Stegostoma tigrinum: one gene and its partner. The protein of the gene in region 1 purifies or fractionates together with the protein of each later gene. This does not show direct contact. Links are inferred from orthologs where the notes say so. Each region holds a gene or a part of one and is shown in the gene's direction. Other genes may lie near its edges.

Region 1 (10,146 bases):
GTGTTTTGCACCTTGGGGATTGCGTAGCAGGAGATGGAGAAATCAGTCATTACGTCCCGTGGGGTGATGAGTCCAGTGATGGGGCGGAGCTTGGGGATATAGGTGCGGAGCGCACCACGCTGAGGGGTGGGGTTTAGATGGGTGACGGGGCGGGGTCTGGTGCTAAAGGGGCGGGGCTTTCTTCGTTGGTGCTGCGCCCAGCACAGTGAGGGGGCGGGGCGCTTCGCTTTGTGATGGATAGTACCCGTAGCAGAGGGGCGAGGCATCGAGCCTTTTATTTTCCCTTTGGTAGGAGGCGGAGTTTGGAGGGAAGTGGGTGGTGCTATCCGCTCTATGAGGATGGTGTTTGGGAAAGGGGCGTGGACTGGATTTAGGGGTGGGCTAGGAAAGGGGCGGGCTCTAATGTTGGTGTGGGGGGTGGGGATAGCAGTCGTTTGCCGAGGCCGTGGTGAGTGGCAGTTGTGGTTTAACTAGTCATGAGGTGCTATCTTTGAACTATATTGTCATCACAAAATTGTTTCAAAGCAACTTAATGATAATAAATAATGAACGCCAAGTTAAAGGTGTAAGTGATATTAGTATTAGTGTTATTCAAATGTTTGTTGAATGAAATGAGTTTGAAGATCTGTCTTGGAGGAGAGGTAGTGAGGAATTTTAACTGACATTTTCCAGATTGCAGTGTAGGAAGATAGCACAACCATTCTCTCAATAATCTAATTTGTAGCCACCATTCCATCAGGACTAGGACTTTTCATTTAATCTTTAATGTTTCTTATTTCTCCCTGTATTGCTTTTCACCAACATTCTTTATCATGGTAAACTGGAGAATTACGTGTGAGAGAAAATCAGCAAGAAAGGTAAACTTGAGTAGTGAAAGCATATACAAGTACATAGAAAGCAAATATGTAGCTAAATTACATGTTTATCCCTTAAAATTATTTTTCTTTCAGTTGGAAAGTGACATTGATAACACCTGTATTCAGAAAGAAGAGACTAATGAGTTAAAACAGTGTGAAGCTGAACACAGCAGGCCAAGCGGCATCAGAGGAGCAGGAAAGCTGATGCTTCAGGTCCAAAGAAGGGTCTTGACCCGAAACATCAGCTTTTCAGGTCCTCCGATGCTGCTTGGCCTGCTGTGTTCATCCAGCTTCACACTGTTTTATCTCGGATTTTCCAGCGTTGGCAGTTCCTACTATCTTAGGAACTAATGATTGGTTAGTCTAACATTTCTGCCATTGAGAAATTGCTAGAAGCCATTATTATGAAGACATTTAGAAAATGGTAATACACGGGTAGAGAAAATGTGGCCTTTTGAATGGGAATTATTTGGACAATTTGTTAGTATTCTTTTAGTATTTTGTAAACAAGGTGGATAAAGGGGAACCAGTAGATGCAATGTATTTGGATTTCTAACAGGGATTCGGTAAGTCTCCATATCAGAGGTTATAGCAGAAGAGGTCATGGTGTTAGTGGTGATATATTAGCATGGATGGAGAATTGGTTGGTTAGCAATAAACAGTCAGTTAAATGGCTCATTTTTGAGGTTGATAAACTCAAAAAAGTGAATGCAACAGAGATTAGTGCTGGAGCCTCAATTATTTACAGTTTAGATTTGTTACTTGCATAGAGGAACTGACTATTGTAGCCATATTTACATGCTAGTTAGGTAGAAAAACAAATTATGAAGTGAACATAACCTGGGATCTAGATATGTTGAGTGGGTGTGCAAAAATTTGGCAAACAAAATATAATGATTGGAAATTAGGTTACCACTCTGGCAGGGAGAACGGAAAAATGGAATATTATTGACATGAAAATAAACTAATGCTGCAGTAAAGAGGGACCTGGTTGTTCTTGTACATGAATTACTAAATGTTGACATGTAAATACTGCAAGTAATGTGGAAAGCAAATAGAACTTTGGTCCTTGTTGTGAAGAAGATTGAGTATAAAAATAGAGAAATCCTGCTACACACAACAAAGCAAGGGCATCGTGGGTGTACTTACACCTTTTAAGGACTGCAGTGGTTTAGGAAGGCATCTTATTTCCTCCACTTTGAGGACAGTTATGGATGGACGACTAATGGTACTTGTATCCCATTAACTAATAATAAAAATAATTTTCAAGTCTCCTTACTTGAGAAAAGACACACCTGCTTTGGAAGCAGTTCAGAGACTGTCCATGAGGTTGATGCCTAAGAGAAAGTTTATCTTTTGAATATACTTTGAGGAGGTTGGGCCTCTACTCATTGGATTGCAGTAGAATGAGAGGTAATCTGACTGAAACATCTAAGATTGTGAGGGGGTAGAGGGTAAAGTATTGTGATACTGTTTACTTTAGGACCATGGGACTTGGTTTAAATTAGTTCTTCTACTTAAGATAGAGATGAGGATTGTTAGGCTGTGGAATTCTCTTCTAAAGAGAGTGGTGAAATCTGTGCCATTGAATATCTTGAAGGCTGAGATAAATTGATTTATAAAAGACTTAGTTAAAGAGGGCAAGCAGGAGAATGACCAACTAAAGTTACTATGAAGGATATTCCTCAATCTCTCCACTCATTTGATGCATGGTGATCCTCAGGGTAAACTGCCTACAGTTTTGTCACTAGTGAGAGAGCAACACAATGGTCCAATAGGAATGTGATGAATTTTCCTTTAATGGGGGAAAATGTGAACTTGTTCACTTTGGCAAGAAGAATATAAAAGCAGCATTTTATTAAAGTTGTGAAAGATTGCAGAGGTGTGGTACAGAGAGATCTGGGGTGTCCTGGTGTATGAATCACAAAGTGCATATGTAGGTATGACGAGTTATTCGGAAGGCATTTAGAACATTGTTATTTATTGCAAAGAAAGTGATGAATAAAAGAAAGGGTCTCTTGCCACAGTTATACAGGATATTTGTGAGACCATATCTAGAGAGCTGTATGCATTTTTAGTCTCCTTACTTTTGGCAGGAGTTGCAGGGAAAAGTAAGACAAACCTCTCTTTTGCAGAACGAAAGACTACAGATGAGTTAAAACAGGTCAGATAAGGTTCATTTAACTGATACCTGGGATATGGAGGGTTGGGCCTACAACCATAGAGTTTAGAAGAATAAAAAGTGATCCTGGTGAGACATACGAGACACTGAGATGTCTTCACTTTATGTATGCTCAAAGGATATTTCCACTTTTGGAAAGACAAGAACTAGGGGTTGCAGTTTAAAATTAAGGAGCCTTTCATTTAATATGGAGGTGAGAATTTTTCCTTTGAGGTCTTTGAAACACCCTTCCTTGGAAAACAGTGGAAGTGGAGTCATTGTTTAGTGTGTGCTATAATGTAAGAAACAATATAGCTAATTTGCACTCGGCAAGTGTCCACAAATAACAATGTGATTTTGGCAATCTTAACTGAGTGATAAAAATTGGTTTAAATGCCAGAGGTATGACTGCTCTTCTTTGAAATAGTGATATGGGATACTTTACATTGATGCAGGCAGGCATATAGAGTCTCAATGTTAGATCTCATCAAGATGGTTTCTCAGATGGTGCAGCACTCTGTTAGTACGAGATTGGAGTGCCAGCCTAAAAATATCAAGTAATCAATTCTTTTCAATAGTTGATTCAAGATGCTTTATAAAATCTGTTAGAGGCCAGACATCAATTAAAATTTGAAACAAATTGATCATGAATTTGTACAGTGAAATATGGTTACAACCAATTTAATTTGTTAGTGCTTTTTCAGTTTCAGGTGAAAGCATTTTTGTACAAATAGTATTTGCCAACTAAACAATAGAATTACATTTATAATCTTGTTGTGGAAAATGTCTTTTAAGAGCCAGTAAGTAAACAATAGCCAGAAAAGATAATAGAATTGAAAGCAGCAGATTGTGGGAGAGCTGATAAAAACCTGAGATTTGGGAAAGCGTTCCAAAGATTGTGACACAGTTGCAACATCCAACGAGTCAAACATCTAGCACTATCTCCGACCAGTGGTTATCAACCTGAATGTGAGAATTTAAACCTTGTGCTTTGCATCAATGTTAATTTAGCATCCAGTATCAAATTCCAACTGCATGTCAGCTGTGGCTTAATTGGAAGAACAACTGCTTCTGAACTGCAGGGCCAGTTTGTGGAACTCCACGGCCAGCATTCCAACACAGGACAGAAGGAATCTTTTACTTGTGATGTTAAACTGATGCTCTCTGCCTGTTTGGGTGGATGTTGTAGGCAACAAAATCAATAGCACACTATTTGCTTTGGATTACCAATTTATTATGTCACAGAAGGAGGAAACTTTTCCATCAAACTGATGCCAGTTCTCTGCAAAACAATCTAGTCAGTCCTGTTTCTCCACTCCATGCCTGTAGCCCTGAAAGTTAATATTTTTCCTATCTAATTTTTGTTAGAAATCACTGACTATCTTTGCTTCCACTGCCCACATACAGAACTAGTTTCAGTTGGTGTATAAAAGAAGTCTTTCTTAAATTTCCCTGCAAGTCTTGACAAAAACTTTAAATCCGTGTCCACTCATCCTTGTAGCATCACTGGGAACAACTTTTCTTTCTGTATTCTAAAACTGTCACAATCTTCTACGTCTCCTATAAACTCCACTCATTTGCCTATGCTTTGATAAAAATAATGAGCTTTTCCAGTCTAATAAAACTTCTCATCCTTGGAACTGTACTTGTAAATCTCTTTCACCCTCTAAGATGTTGAAATCTTTCCAAAAGTGTGGTAGTTACAACTGGATGCAATTTGTTTTTGTGGGCAAACTAGAGCTTTATAATGGTTCAACAGACCTTGACTGCTTTTGTACTTAATTTGTGAAGCCCACGATGCCATTTGCTTTGCAAACCAATCTGTCAATTTGTCCTACCACCTCCAAAGATCTATGCATCCAGATCCATCGTTTACTTTATCCAGACGCATGGTGTTGAATACTTGTATTAAAAATATCTCAATATTTTCTTCTCCAGTCTTAATTTTGCAAATTTATCCACATAATTGAGTTTTCTTATCCTTGAAGCAATTAATATTCTCTGAACTCCTCGTAATGCCTGCACATACTTCCGGAAGCATCATGTCCAAAACTGTGCGCGATACTATAGTTGAAGCCAGCTTAGTGTTCTGTGCAAATTTAATTCGCTTCCTTGCTTTTGTGCGCGATGTCTCTATTAATAAAACCTATGATGCTGTATAAAGATAACCAGGTGTAGAGCTGGATGAATACAGAGCAGGCTAAGCAGCACAAGAGGAGCAGGACGACGTTTCGGGTCTGGACCCTTCTTCAGTTCCTACTATCTGTGATGCTGTATACTTTCTTAACCGATCCCCTCACCATATTCTGCGACCTTCAATGATTTATGTACATATGTACTCAGGTTACTTAGTTCGGTAGCTCTTTGAGAACTGCATCTTTATTTGATCATATCTCCGCCTAGTCACTACCAAAATAAATAGCGTGAGTTATAAGTTCAGCGAGTTTAAGTCGTACAAGGGTTGTGAATCCGACTCTGGCGCCGCGCACAGAAGCTCTGATCAGCTGAGTTGCATTCCGTCCGAGATAGTGGGTGATGTAATCGTCGGCCAATCAAAAAACACAGCAGTGTTGAGTTACGTGACGTGAAATCGCCTCGCCTCCAACGTTCGGTTGACGTGATGACGTTACAGCCCGGTTACCCGGGGTGACGTCGGTTCCAAAACATCACGGATGTCTGCTACGATTGGTCCGACGCCTGAGCCCGAGCGGCGGCCAATGAGGGGAGCGAGCGGGCGCGAGTTGCGGAGTGACGTTTTAAATATCCCAGCAAACTTTGTCCGATGTTGTCTTTGCCGTCGCCATTAGAGTCGAACGGAGGAGCCTGAGAAAAGGAAGGAAAAAAAAATGTCATAAGAACAAAAAGGAAGAGGAGGCTTGGGGAGGAGGGGGGGGGGGGTGGGAGAAGGGTAGAAGCTGGAGGTCGCTAGTCGGACGGGGGTGAGGTGCGACGGGAGTGAGTCGGGGCGGAGGGGGTGGGATTTCTTTTTATTTGACCCGGCCACCATGTAAGGGAAAGAGCGGCGGGGGCTGCGGGGGAGGGGTGGGGAGGGGGGGAAAGTAGAGAGAAGTGAGATCGTCTGGAACGGCGGCGGTGGAGGAGAAGGTCTGTTTGTTGTATGCAGTCCCTCTGACACTGAATGTAAATGAAAGAGATGGGGTACCGACGGCGGCGGTGGAATGGAGGTGCAGCCCCAGCGCAGCTGAATGTCAGGCCAGTGCCTGAGATCTGGAATTAGGTAACTGTTGGTCGTCAGTCACACAGAAAAAAGCACCGCAGCTCTTTTCCGCGCTCTTTAGTTATTCTGCCCGGAGTGGCAGAGAAGCATTCTTGTCCGCAGCCCAGCGTGGATCGGTGCAGGTCCGCTCCTTTGGAAGTTAGTGTTAAGACAAATCTGCATGCTCCTTTAACAGCAGCTCTGTTGACGTGTTGTGTAGTCTTGGGTTCAGCCCAACCACCCGATTAGGTAAAGGTGCACGTAGGCTTTTCAGAAGTTTATCCCAAGCAGTTATGAAGCCGGTACATTGAAGTTCGGAGGTGGTGGGGCCACGAAAAGAGTCGATTGCCTCCTTTGTATTGTGCGTGAAGAAATCTAGTTTTCTCTTTACATCTTGTTCAGAACCTGAACTTTGATACTATTACAACAGGCTGGATATCTATTCGAACAAATAGTAGCTTTCTAAAGATAAAACTCATGTTCTGATGCAAGATGAGATTCGTACTGTATCTGTCTTGGCATAGCTTTCTGTTTTTCTGGGGTTCTGTTTCCAATTGCATTTTATCCGGACCCAGCGCTACGTTTGTGGAGCTTAGAGATCGAATGTTTGAAAACAGATCTCTACAAACAAGAAATCAAAGTACATTTCGTTATTATTGTTGAAACCCTTATTTTTATGGCCCAATCTCCATGACCAAAAAGTAAAGCATTTCGACGTGATTTTTGTAAGTTTTTTTTGTAACGTGGCTGCCATTCCATATCTATTAATGGAATCTTTCTTGAGTGCCGCTTGTTGACTCTCGTTTGTTTACAGTTGTAGTCCAATGGGAGATTTTTGTTCAAAATTGGTGGGTTGTTAAATAAATTAAAATCCTTTTTGAATATGAACCATAATTTATCAAATTTTTTTGCTTTCCCCATCATCATCATCATCATCATCATCATCATCATTAAATTCAGAATTGCAGTTCAGTTATTGCAGAGTGGCAGTTTTTATTTCAACACTGCATAATTCTGTTTTGAACGCTACATTCTCACATTGTACTTGTCAATAATTTGGATTTAGCAATAAGCAATTATTTTAGCCACATAATTTAGGGACTGTTTGACACTTAGCTTAGTCATCAACCGGAAGGCTCTAAGGCATTGAGGTTGTGTAGCCAGCAGGTGTAATTTTTTTTCTTGATAAAGGCTACAACTGTTAGCTCCTCTCTTCTCTCCCCCCCCCCCACTGATTAATATCTTGGATTAATTAGGTATATTCAGCTTCTTGCTAATAAATGAACTCTTGGCTCTGCTGTCTTAGAGTTTTGCTTTAATATTAGACTGTGAAGCATGTACTTCTCTTGTAGCATTAATTGTTGAACTTTTTACAGGGTTGTGTAGTGATGAAGTGTAATGTTTTCAGCCATCAGGGATTTGTGAAGTGAAAACTGTACAGAATAGTGTGTTTATTTTTAGGTTTACATTATTATCGACGAAATTCAGCCTAATCAAAACATTTTGAATTTGGATGTTGAATTGTAAAGCCCCATACAAGAAGACTGATTTGAATATTCAGTAACGGGTGTGTGTATTTAGTGTGTTCTGTGCATAGTGATTATATTGGATTAAAAGTTTCGTTGTTGGATTGAATTTTTTTGATCAGGATATTACTACCTTTAATGACTTTCTTTTGTTAATAGAGTGGTGAGAATTATAGTTATCTTTCTTATCCCTAGCCCGGAAAGTGAAGTGAACAATCTGTGAAACTGTACTTTTCTCTAACAATAGCCACAAATACAGCATCGATTTGGCTAACAATGTCTGAAAGATTTACTCTTGCATGCTAAGTTTTGAATGAATTTTATCAGAGTTGTGGCCTGCTTAGTCATGTCATACCTGGTTGGTTAGTACCACCTATAAAAAGTTTGGTGGAAAATTGCTGACACAACTAAGGCAGGAGTAAAGTTTGTTTGGAGGTAAATTTTGTAATTTTGTAAAATCTTGCAAAACTGTATTAAATCAAGTGCATTGTAACTGCTTTCTTTAAAAGGAAGGATTTTGTAAGCATACAACCAGTGATTCTGTAGTTTTATGGAATAGCTTTAGTTAATGTAGACCAGAGTTTTGGATTTTATGGGATTCCAAAAAAAAATTAGTTTATAATAGTTTATGCTGAGTTTTGAAATACATAAATATGTCTACAAATTTTATTTCTTCTGCCAAATGCCTTTGTGTACTTGGAGTGGATCTCCGCTGTTTCCATTTGGTTTTGTTGATTGTCTCAAATATACTGCAGTTATTAGATGACAGCAGAGCTAGCAAGTACATCCGTCATACTTGCTACTGTGTTTAATTTATATCTATTTGAAAATTAACTTCTTTGAAACAAAAAGTCGTCATATGAAGATGTCAATGTTCATGGGAAGTAGGAAGTTCAGTTATTTTGAGTGATCAAAATTTGGGAGTGCAGTCAAATTTTTCTTCTAGACTGAGGATGCAAGGTTATTTATCAAATTTGCTGCAGATTCCAAAATTTAAGGAGTAGCAATACTATTGTAGTTGCAGAATGAGAGGAAACCTGATGATTTAGAATATTGTACGAATTCCAAAGCACTAAACAAAAGTTAATGAACATCTCTCAATGCACTGAGATCTACTATAAAATGACGTGCTAAAGCACGTATAATATGGATGTGTGTTGAGCCCCACATTTTTTATGAGTAGAATTTGTCTAGTGTGATATTAAAACGTGTTAAGATAGGAAAGTTACTAACACACTTGAAGTTGGGACCCCACTATAACATTGTTCCTGTGTGTAAGCTATTAACCTGGGCCACTGTCCTTTTTGGAACAGTAATTTGCTAGATATTCTGTTTTGTAGTTTTACTCAAGTGTACAGGTCCTTTGATTTCCACTACTGTGTGCTTTAATTATCTGTTAGAATTTTTAAAAAAGTGGAGAATACCATATACACTTGTAACAAATGTCTATCTTTTTATAATTCAGGTATATGACTCCATTTCTGTGGTACTCTGGTGACCTCCATTTACAGACCATTTCTTAAGTAATGGTCATGATCAGCAATGGGCTTCTTGAAAGGGTAGCAGAAGCAGAATTTAATTAACTTTCAGAAAAGGATTATATGCTTAAATCAAAGGGCAGGAATGTTGCTTAGACAAGGGGAAAAGAGGAGAGGGAGTAATTGGATAGCCCTTTGGAGCTGGCAAGGGTGCGTGGCTGAACGACTTCCCTCTGTGCAGTATGATTCCATGATTATTTACTTGGTTGGCCCTGGTAAATGAGCAGCAGTCAACCATAAACTGATGGTAGTTCTTGAAAATGTTGGACTTTCTCTTGGTTCTTCATTTTTAAATAGAAATTTTCCAGTTCTCTCTCTTTTTTAATTGTTCGTTCTCAGGATGTGGGCGTCAATGGAAAGGCTGGCATCTTCCCATCCCTAGTTGTCTTGAGAAGGTGGTTTTGAACCACCTCCTTGAACCGAGTGATGTTCTAGTCCATTTCAGCGGGCAGTTAAGAATTGGTATGGAACTGGAATCACTTATAGGCCAGACCAGGTAAGGTGAGCAAGGTTTCCTTCCCTCTGAGGGCATTAGTGAAACCTGTTGGGTTTTCATTGGCAATCCAAATAGCTTAACAGTCATTCTTTCTTTTAAACTCATAACCAGCCTGGGTAATATAACATACTTAATTTATTAAATACAGATGATTTATGTAAATTGTGCAAAAGAATGTTATATATACACTTATTCTTGACATTTGCATCCAATTAGCTTTTTTCTCATGGATGCGTGGTTTCCTTCTCATAAACTAGTGAGGGAATAAGCATAGATGAACTGATTCCACACTAATGGATTTTGTAATGAGTTCTGGAGTTGGTTTTCCAGAGTGCACAGAGTCTTAACTGT
Region 2 (9,467 bases), on another chromosome or scaffold:
GGCCTGCTTTTTTTTTCTTTTTTCACTCAACAACAGCCCCTCCTCCGTTGGTAAGGTGTTTATTTATTTAAAATTGATGATGGAGAAGCTGATTTAGTGAAGAAACTGTCAACAAGTTCTCTTTCAATGCATGCTTTTGAATTTCAGGATTGTCTCAATCACTGCAGATATGTCTGTCATCTTTAAAAGCTTGAAGTTTTTTTATTATAATCGTTTGGAGTTCAACACAGCTAGATATTTTTCTGAATATTCAGCAGTGAGTTCTGTTAACAAATTTGTGGGCAAAAAGACATATTTCCAGTAAATTAAAGGAAAAATATGACTGTCAGGCAAGGCTGGGATTCTTTTCAGTGTCTCCTTTGAGTGATGGGGTTGAAATATTGGTTGCAAAAATGTCTGGCTGTTGGTGAACAGAGAAGAGCGTGTGGCCTGCCCTTCCAGGGTCTGCTTTATTAATTTTTAAAATTTAACCTATTTTTCTAATCATCCTGTTCAGAGATGTCATTACATGCCTCTGGAGCAGGTGGGAGTTCAACCTGAGCCTCCTGGCTGAAAGGTAGTGATACTACCATTACAAAACAGCTCTCTGCAAACTGTCGCAGCATAACCTGAACCTGCAATCTTCTGCCAATACCCTGGTTAATACTGAAGTCAGACATCTTATTCACTAGACTGAGCAACTACCTTAAATAAATGCTGAAATGGGAGAATGCAAGAATGAGACAGACCGATAGACTTACTGAAACAGTGAGGTTCAGGCAATGACTTTCAGCTGGGTCAGTCGTTGCCTGTTACCGAGGGAACTTGTACTCAACAAGCTCCGATAGGAGATTAATTACTGATTCCCCACCGACCTTTTGGGAATTATCATAAAGATTTTGAGTATTTGCTGCTGCAGATATTCCTCAATATGGAAAGATAGTAACACTGTTGGTGCAGAGTAACTGTCTGATGATGGCTTGGTGCATCTTTGTCTTGGAACTCAGACGAACAAGGCTGTAAAGAGACAGTTTCTGTGAATATCCTGAAGGCATACTCCAGGAGCAAAGTGAGGAATGAATATGCCAAGGACTGTCGGTGCCAGAACACCAACTGCACTATGTATTGATGTTGTTCTGTTATGTAGTTGATCTTACCCATTGTATTGTCATGGTTGAGATCACATTGAACAATTTTGGATGGCAGCTTGAATGGACTGTCTCTGTCCACGTGGCTGAATGCATTTATAAGATCAATGAAGGCAATGCACAATGGTCTCCTTTGTTATTGTGTTGCTATTGCAGTTGCTGGACTGAGAAGTTCATGACAACTGTCGAAATTCCAGTTCTGAAAAATACTAGGATTTGAGGTAAATGGATTCAGCAGGAACTACTGTCTGTCAAGGGCAACAATAGCCAAATACTTTGCTCAAGATGTTGAACAAGAAGCTGCCATGCAAATTTTTGCAATTCTGCTGTTGCCCCATTTCTGCAGCAGAGGCAAGAGAAGTTATCACAGTTGCTGCAAGAGTACCAGTTTCTCATATTTTATGAGTTCATATGGTACACTATCAGTACTTGCAACTTTGCCCATGGCAAATGAATTAATGTTCAGTATATTATGGAAAAAATTATACATTGAATATTAACTCCACTTTCCCTAAGGGCCACCAGTGAACTGGATGGGGTTTTCCTGACAACCAGCAATGAATTCATGGTCATCACTGGACTCTTAATTTCAGTTCTGTTCTTAATTGAACTCAAATTCTATCATCTGTCATGGTGGGATTCAAATGCAGATCCCTGGAACATTACCTGGGTCTCTGAATTAACAGTTCAGTGATAATACCACTAGGGCATTACATCCCCTAATTGGGCTCCAACAAGCATGACCATCTTCCTGTGTGCTACGTATGATCCCAACCAGTGCAGAATATTTCTCCTGATTCCCATTGACTTTAAATTTGATGTCACACTCAAGCAAACACTGCCTTGATTTTATCCCCTCCTTAGTTCAGTTCTTTTGCCCATGTTTGGACCAAGGCTGCAATGAAGGCAGCAGCTGAGGAGTCCTGGTGAACCACAAAATAATAATGTGAGCAGGTTACTGCAGTGTAAATGCTGCTTGATAACACTGTTGCAAACCTTTCCATTATTTTGGTGATAATTGAAAGATGGTTGATGGCGTGGCAACTGGCCAGATTGGATTTGTACGGCTTTTTGTGGACAGGTCATATTTGGACAGTTTTCCACATTGTCAGCTAGATGCCAGTGTACAGCTACACTGAACGGCTAAACTACAGATGTGGTTAGTTCTGGAGGTTAAGTCTCCAGTTCCAATGCTGGAATATTGACAGGGCAGTTAGATGTCAGACTTCTATCAGTTAGCACTTTCCTAGTGTTGCTTTCCATATTTTGAGAGTGCATATCGTTGATGGAATGTTTCATTTTATTTTGGTGTTCATTGTGGAAATGCTGGTGAATGCGTGTTGTGTTGAGGAACTGTTGGTTTTTACATGGTGGGCAAAATGTTTGATCTTGATACAAAGGCAACATTTCTGCTTTGAAGAAAAGCTTCAAGGGTTCCATCCACTGGGTCACACCAGAATGTCTCCAGGACGCTGTACCCTGGATGTCTCCTGGCAACATTATGGTATGGCTTGTTCTGAAAGGTGTTGAAAAGCTTGTGACAGTGGTGAAGCTTAATTTGTTTCTGTCTGTTTTCATATACCTTTCAGAGACAGCAGGGCCATGTCTTATGGTCTGCATCCCCTCTTGCACTGAAATCCCCAGTGGATGAAGATATCCTGACTTGGGGATTCTTCTGACAGTGTCTCGCTCCTCACAGAACTTGTCTTTCACCTCTGTCATGGAGCACAGATGCCCATGAAGTTAACAGACCCTGCTTGAGTTCAGAAGCGGATGCGGAGAATATATTTTGAACTAACTGGAGTGAGTTCCATCACCAAAATTAATAATTACCTAACAACAAAACCTACACCAGACGCATAAACCTGCTCTGAACTCTTCCCTATCAGATGAATATGTTTTTCTTTCAGTGATCCACTCTTTGTGAATATGGTGTCTTGGAGGGAAGCTGTGTTGATATTCTGTCCAAGTTCCACATGAATCACTGTTGTCTTCTGCATTTTATCATCAGCTGCAAGTTGTCTGTTGGCACTTGGTTCTGACATTCAAGCCTACTAACAGAATAGTTTGTGTCTTTTTTCTTTTCATGTTTTTCACTTGTTTGCCTGGTATGATAGATTCCACTTGCTTGTTGAGCAAGAGCTATTAGACGTAAGCCCCCTTTGAAGCAGATGGACCTGTGGCAAGTCAGCAGCTCATTATTTGGGAACTGCCCAACTTGAAGTGAACGGTGCTTTTCTTAGCAGCATAGAATGCACCTTCTGACCTCAGCTGACAGCTAGAGCTTTCTATGGCAATGAAATTGGCCTTATCACTTGTAACTGGTGTTTCCAATGTTATGTTAATATTCCACGGAGCACTGGAGACATCCTCTTCTGCACAAAACGTACGAAGACCCAGAGCAGCCCAAAGATCCGGGTTCAACTCCTTAGTTGATTCTAAAGGAATACAGAGCGTATTGTTTGATACTCGTTTGGTTGCGGGAGTAACTGGAAAATGACCAACGTAGTATCACTCTGTCTTTGGCTGTACTAGATTTTAAATAATGTTTTGCTCCCTTTGCCTTAACCTCTCCTGTGGTATTTAAAAGGTTGCAGGGTTATTCACCCATTGCTGGAATTTGATTCACAAATACCAATACCAAATACCACTGGGTTAATGCTCAACTTTTTCTCAACGTTTTCTCAAGATAACTGTTTACGAATAACCAACAGTATGATTTAGGAAATGGGTGGAGGGGTGAATGTTGGCTGGGCATTCCTACACCACTTTGAAAAAGTGCCCTTGTACGTATTTTATTCAGCTAAATAGCATCTGAAAAGCTCATGAAAAACAGTACATGTTTTAGAGTCGTATATAAGCCATGTCTTTCTAAGGCTGAGTCAAAAGAGATACCTTGAAAGGAACAAGTCATCGCAAGATAACAAAGTGTGAAGCTGGATGAACACAGCAGGCCCAGCAGCTTCTCAGGAGCACAAAAGCTGACGTTTCGGGCCTGGACCCTTCATCAGAGAAAATGCTTGGCCTCACCTGAGACATTTCTCAAGTATTGTCACGCCTGCACTGTAGGAAGTATGGCAGCTAATTTGCACACAGCAAATCTGCACAAAAACAGCAATGACAACGGTCAGATGATATGATTTTGTGGTGTTCGTTGTGAGATAAACGCCTCTCTCGATCTACCTCGAAATGATGAGAAGCGATCCGTTCATTTGTGCGTCCGTCGTCGAAACTCACCTTAACGGCAGATGAAACTGTCCTTCTGCCAACAGGCCCGCAGAGAAACCCTCCGAGAACACCACACCACTCCACAGCCTCAAATGAAAAACATGTTTTGTTTTTCACGGCTCCAGCGACGAAATTAATTCAACGGTCACAAGGTGTTTTTTTTTAAAAAAGACTCACCCATCATGTATTTCGAAAGGAGGTGAAATGTGGTTGTTTGTTTTATATCTAATTTCTCCAAGATTAAACATAACCACACGGAGAGACGTACAAGGTTTGACGTTTGTGAGAGGCCGCGGCGTTTCAGTGTCGCTCCCTAGGTAAAGGGGAGGAACGGACACTCCTACTCCTCCTCCTCCTCCCTCTGCATTCGGTGCCTGGAGCTCCGGTTTCGGTCCCACGACCAGGAGGTGCTCTCGGCCCCTTGTTCTTGAACACTTCGGCCAGCCTGGCGGCGGCGGCGGGGGAGAGGAGAGTGAGGGGAAAGGATATGATGCCGCGGTGTCTCTCGAGCCGCCGATAGCCAGAGCCGGTGAGTGGAGGTACATTGCCGCCGTCGTCGAGAACGGGACGAGGAGTCGCTTTCGGGGCCAGCCGGCTTTGATGACGCTAGGCCTTACGGTCAGAATCCAGGCGCTAGCCCAGGGGAAGTCGGCCGCAACGGACTGCTCTGTCTTACCCTGTTCCTTTCCCCCGCCCCCCCCCAATCATCATCATCATCATCATCATCATCTCCGGGTCAGGCCGAGTCTCTTTGTGTGTCCGCCCGGGCGGTAGGCTGAAGCGAGGCCCAGGCCTCTCCGGTTTAAGTGGGCCTCGTCGGCCACGGTCACTACCTTCGAGCGCCCCGCCCCGGGGTTGACCGGACCGGGCAGCCTGGGGCCTGCGTCTCTGTCCCCGTGAGGCGGCTGTTGAGTCTCATCGGCCTGGGCCTGGACAATACTGATCCGCCAGCTTTAGGCCGAATATGTTTAAATGGCGGCTCCTGAGCGGGCAAGTGCGTTAGTTTCGGGTGGAAATCGCTTGCCCAAACTTTCTCAGGTTATTTATTTCATGGAAGGTCGAGGGGATGGTTTAGAGTGGGGGAATTGATGATGAACTGAAATAACATGCACAAAAAAGAATCCGTTAACGTGTACTTTCTTTTATTTTTTGGCTAGATTCTTTCGGACCAGTTGTGGAAAACACGGTGATCTCTCTTCCCAGGGACTTTCCCACCAGCCTCCCAGTTTTAGGAGGACATTAGTGGGGATAACTGTCAGGGATTTAAGAGGTCTATCTCATCATGGCCGATGTGGATCCCGATACCTTGTTGGAATGGCTACAAATGGGCCAGGGAGACGAGAGGGACATGCAGCTTATAGCCTTGGAGCAGCTGTGCATGTTACTTCTCATGTCCGATAATGTGGATCGTTGTTTTGAAACGTAAGTTTTCTTTTAATTTTGTCGTCGGTCGTTTTCTGTTGACTTGACTTTTGCCGGATCCCAACTTCGATTGGGGCTGTTTTTTTTAATATTTGCTCTTAATTTCAAGAATTGTGCGTTGGTAGTTATTTTAATCGTATCTCTAAGTGACGCATTAGAAGGGAGAACAAGGTTATGAAGTACCCAGGGATTTCACAATGTTTCAGATCTGCGTTCCGATGGCTTCAACAAAGTTTATATTTTACGAACACAACCGCAGAGATATTGTGCGTGCTCTGCAGAGCAAGTGGCTGCCCAAGGGAAATGGATGTGATTACACGCCGAATTGCTTTTAGGTTGGGAACAGCAATGAGTTATGTGACATACTTAATACCTTGGAAGACAGGAGTTCTTGTGGTATTAAACATTGTTAGAAACATGGGCTGTGTTTTTAAGGGTCACTTCTGATATTGATTCAATCAGAAAGTTTGGAAATATGGATTTCCTGACAGTTGATATGCATAACCTCTTCTGGCTAGATTCAGATCCATCGCTGTTAAAATGGCAACGATATTCATTCACCTTAATAGTCGTAGTCATACAACACAGAATCAGACCCTTTGGTCCAACTGCTCCACGCCAACCAGATATCCCAATCTGACCTAGTCTCATTGGCCAGCATTTGGCCCATATCCCTCTAAATCCTTTGTACTCAAACACCCATCCAGCTATTTAAATGTTGCAATTGTACCCATCTCCTCCACTTCCTTTGGCTACCCTATGCATGAGAAAGTTGCCCCTTGGGAGCTTTTAAAATCTTTTCTGCCCTCACCTTGAATGTGTTCCCTCTCATTTTGGACTCTCATAGGAAAAAGATTTTGGCTGTTCGCCCTATACGTGCTCCTCATGACGTCATAAACCTCGATAAGGTCAACCCTCAGGCTCTGACTTGAAGGAATTGCTGAGGATCACAAAGGCTTGGAGGGCACTCTTGGTCCTGAATCTCTGATTGCATTTTGTTGAAAGAAGAAATAAAAAAACATAGTTGACTTTGTTCCATCAATCTACCTGTCACAGATGAACCTGTCCATGACAGGCTTAGTATGAGTGGCCATCACACAATCCTCTGGGAGATCAATTTCCATCTTAATACTGAGGAAACTCCCCATATGCTGTATGACACGAGTACCAAGCTAAATGGGGTAGAGTCTTTAGAGGTTTGGTGCCTGAAAATAAAATAGTAAGCAAACACTCTCGGCCATTGATAGCAACAGAACTATCTACCGGAAACTATAAAACTGAAAAGTCATAAGAAATAAGAACAGAAGTTGGATGGTTTGGCTCCTCAAGCCTGCTCTGCCATTCAGCAGGATGATAGCTGATTCGGCATTTCTCATATCCACTTTCCTGCCCTTTCCTCATAACTCTCAATTCCTCTACTGATTTATCTCCGCATTAAGTACATGCACAATGACTTTGCGCCCACAGCTGCCTGTAGCAAGCAGTTCCAAAGGCTGTCAACCCTCTGAAAGAAGAAATTCCTCCATCTCTGAATTTTAAATGGACACCCCTTTATTCAGAGACAATGCCGTCGGGTTCCAGATTGTCCCATGTGGGAAACATCCTTTCATTATTTACTCTGTCAACCCCCTTTAGAATCCTCAGAGATAGTAACAACTGCCAGTGCTGGAGTTAGAGATAACCGTGTGGAGCTGGAGGAACACAGCAAGCCAAGCAGCGTCGGAAGAGGAGGAAAAGAAGGGTCCTGACCAGAAACATCAACTATGCCTACTTCTCTGCTGCCTGGCCTCCTGTGTTCTTCCAGCTCCACAGTGTTATCCCTTCAGAATCCAATATGTTTCATTGAGATCCCACTCTCATTCTTTTAAACTCTAGTGAGTAGAAACATAGCCTATTTAACCTTTGCCCATGAGACTTAACCTTTTGTAAGGTATGATGACAGATATCTTCTGGAAGTCCAAATACAACACATGTACTGGTTTCCCTCTATCCTCTCGAGTTGAGATTTTCTCAAACGTCTAATAAAATTAGTTAGATATGATTTCCCTTTTGAAGTGATGCTGACCCTGCCTGGTTAAACTCTGATTTTCCAGTGTGCTGCTGTTATTTTGAAAAATTAATACTGATACACCAACGGTCTCTGTAGCTGCTACTTTTAGGATCCTAGGATGCAAACCATCAAGGCCAGGGTACTCATCTGCCTTTAGCATTGTTAGCTTTTCCATTACTACTACTCTGGTGATGGCGATGATAGTGAATTCCTCCCCTGTATTCTTTTGCATTAATGGGTTGTCTGTGGTATTTTCCACTGTGAAGAGTGATGTAGAATATCAGTTTAACTCTTCTGTCATTTCCTTATTCCTCAACTATTTCACCAGCTTCATTTCCTAAGGGGTCCTTGACCTGACTCTCTGTCTCCTTTTTACATATTTAAATAAGTTCATGTCAACTTTTGGATGTTTGCTAGTTTGCCCACCCGTTTTGTTTTCTCTATTATGTTTTTAGCTTTTTTTTTTGGTGTTTAGCATATCCCTCACAAAGCATTGCTATTAAGTTACTTAATAGGAACAGAAGATGGAAAGTTTAAGTTTTTTTTTCAAAAAGGCTAACCTGGTGGAGCAACAACTCAAGATTACAAGCATGCTAAACAGCAGAAGCTATTTACAGAGCCAAGTGATCCCAAACAATCCCACTGCTGTATCCACTTGCAATTGGTGGGCAACAGTTAGAGATTAACCATTGAAGCCTCCACTTACCTCTTCCAATAGCAAAGCTTAGCACATTGGTATGAAAAACAAAGCTGAAGTATTTGCAATGATCACCATGAAGACAAAAAACAAAAACAGAACTAATAAGTGTGAAGTTTCTCTGTAAACTAAACAGCTATGGAGAGAGATCACGAGAAAGGAAAATGGAGGCATGTGAAGCAAAAACAAATTTGCTGGGCCGTTGCTTAGATAATGATACCCACTGTGGGACAGAAAGAGGAGTGTACAAGTACTTAAGTGAATAGGTTCAAAGGGCAGAAATAAATGGTAAGAAGACTAAATTTAATGGCTCTTAAATGCATGTCGTCATTGGAAGAAAATAAATTAACAGGACAAATAGAGGCTAATGAGTAACACTTCAGTCATTACAGAGAGGCGGTTACACAAGGATCAAAGCTGGGAACCAAATATTCAGGTGTATGTCAATGTTCAAAGGCAAGGCTGGTGTGATAGTTTTTAATGAGATAGGATAAGTTTGATAGCAAGAAATTATCTTGGATGAAATGATGAAGAATCCATTTGAGTTGAGATAAGAAACAACCAGGGAGAAAGGCAATGGTGGGAGTAATCCACAGGCCCCGTATACTCTGTAGGACAGAGAAGACTCGGGAGATAAGGGCATGTAGAAAAGGCCTTTATGGGTGCTTTTAATCTTCTCAACTGGACGAATCAAACTGACATAAATACCTATAAGGAAGAATTCATACAGTTTATTCAGGATAGTTTCTGGAAAAAAAAGTTCTGGATTCTTCCAAAAATCAGGTTGCTTTGTATTTGGCAATGTGCAGTGAGGCTGTTTTAATAAATGATCTGAGTTAAAGATCCTCGAGAGAACAGTGACCAAAACAGTGCATTATTTGCCATTCTGTTTGAGAGTGAGAAACTTAGGTCAAGAAACAATTGCACTAAATTTAAATGAGGT

What was found.
Region 2: the proteins of ubiquitin thioesterase ZRANB1 (region 1) and hectd1 purify together in Homo sapiens (affinity purification with mass spectrometry; 5 studies listed by BioGRID and IntAct, with this or other methods). This does not show direct contact. The link is inferred for Stegostoma tigrinum from reciprocal best matches to the Homo sapiens genes ZRANB1 and HECTD1.

Annotation. Positions count from the first base shown.
Region 1 is NC_081373.1:30,892,466-30,902,611, forward strand, and holds the start of ubiquitin thioesterase ZRANB1, read left to right. Parts: upstream 1-6,071; 5' UTR 6,072-6,256; intron 6,257-6,290; exon of another isoform or gene 6,291-6,394; intron 6,395-6,426; exon of another isoform or gene 6,427-6,960; intron 6,961-9,638; 5' UTR 9,639-9,800; intron 9,801-10,146. UniProt on the Homo sapiens protein: Ubiquitin thioesterase, which specifically hydrolyzes 'Lys-29'-linked and 'Lys-33'-linked diubiquitin. Also cleaves 'Lys-63'-linked chains, but with 40-fold less efficiency compared to 'Lys-29'-linked ones.
Region 2 is NC_081363.1:60,980,345-60,989,811, forward strand, and holds the start of hectd1 (E3 ubiquitin-protein ligase HECTD1), read left to right. Parts: upstream 1-4,602; 5' UTR 4,603-4,894; intron 4,895-5,103; exon of another isoform or gene 5,104-5,393; intron 5,394-5,512; 5' UTR 5,513-5,637; coding exon 5,638-5,777; intron 5,778-9,467. UniProt on the Homo sapiens protein: E3 ubiquitin-protein ligase which accepts ubiquitin from an E2 ubiquitin-conjugating enzyme in the form of a thioester and then directly transfers the ubiquitin to targeted substrates.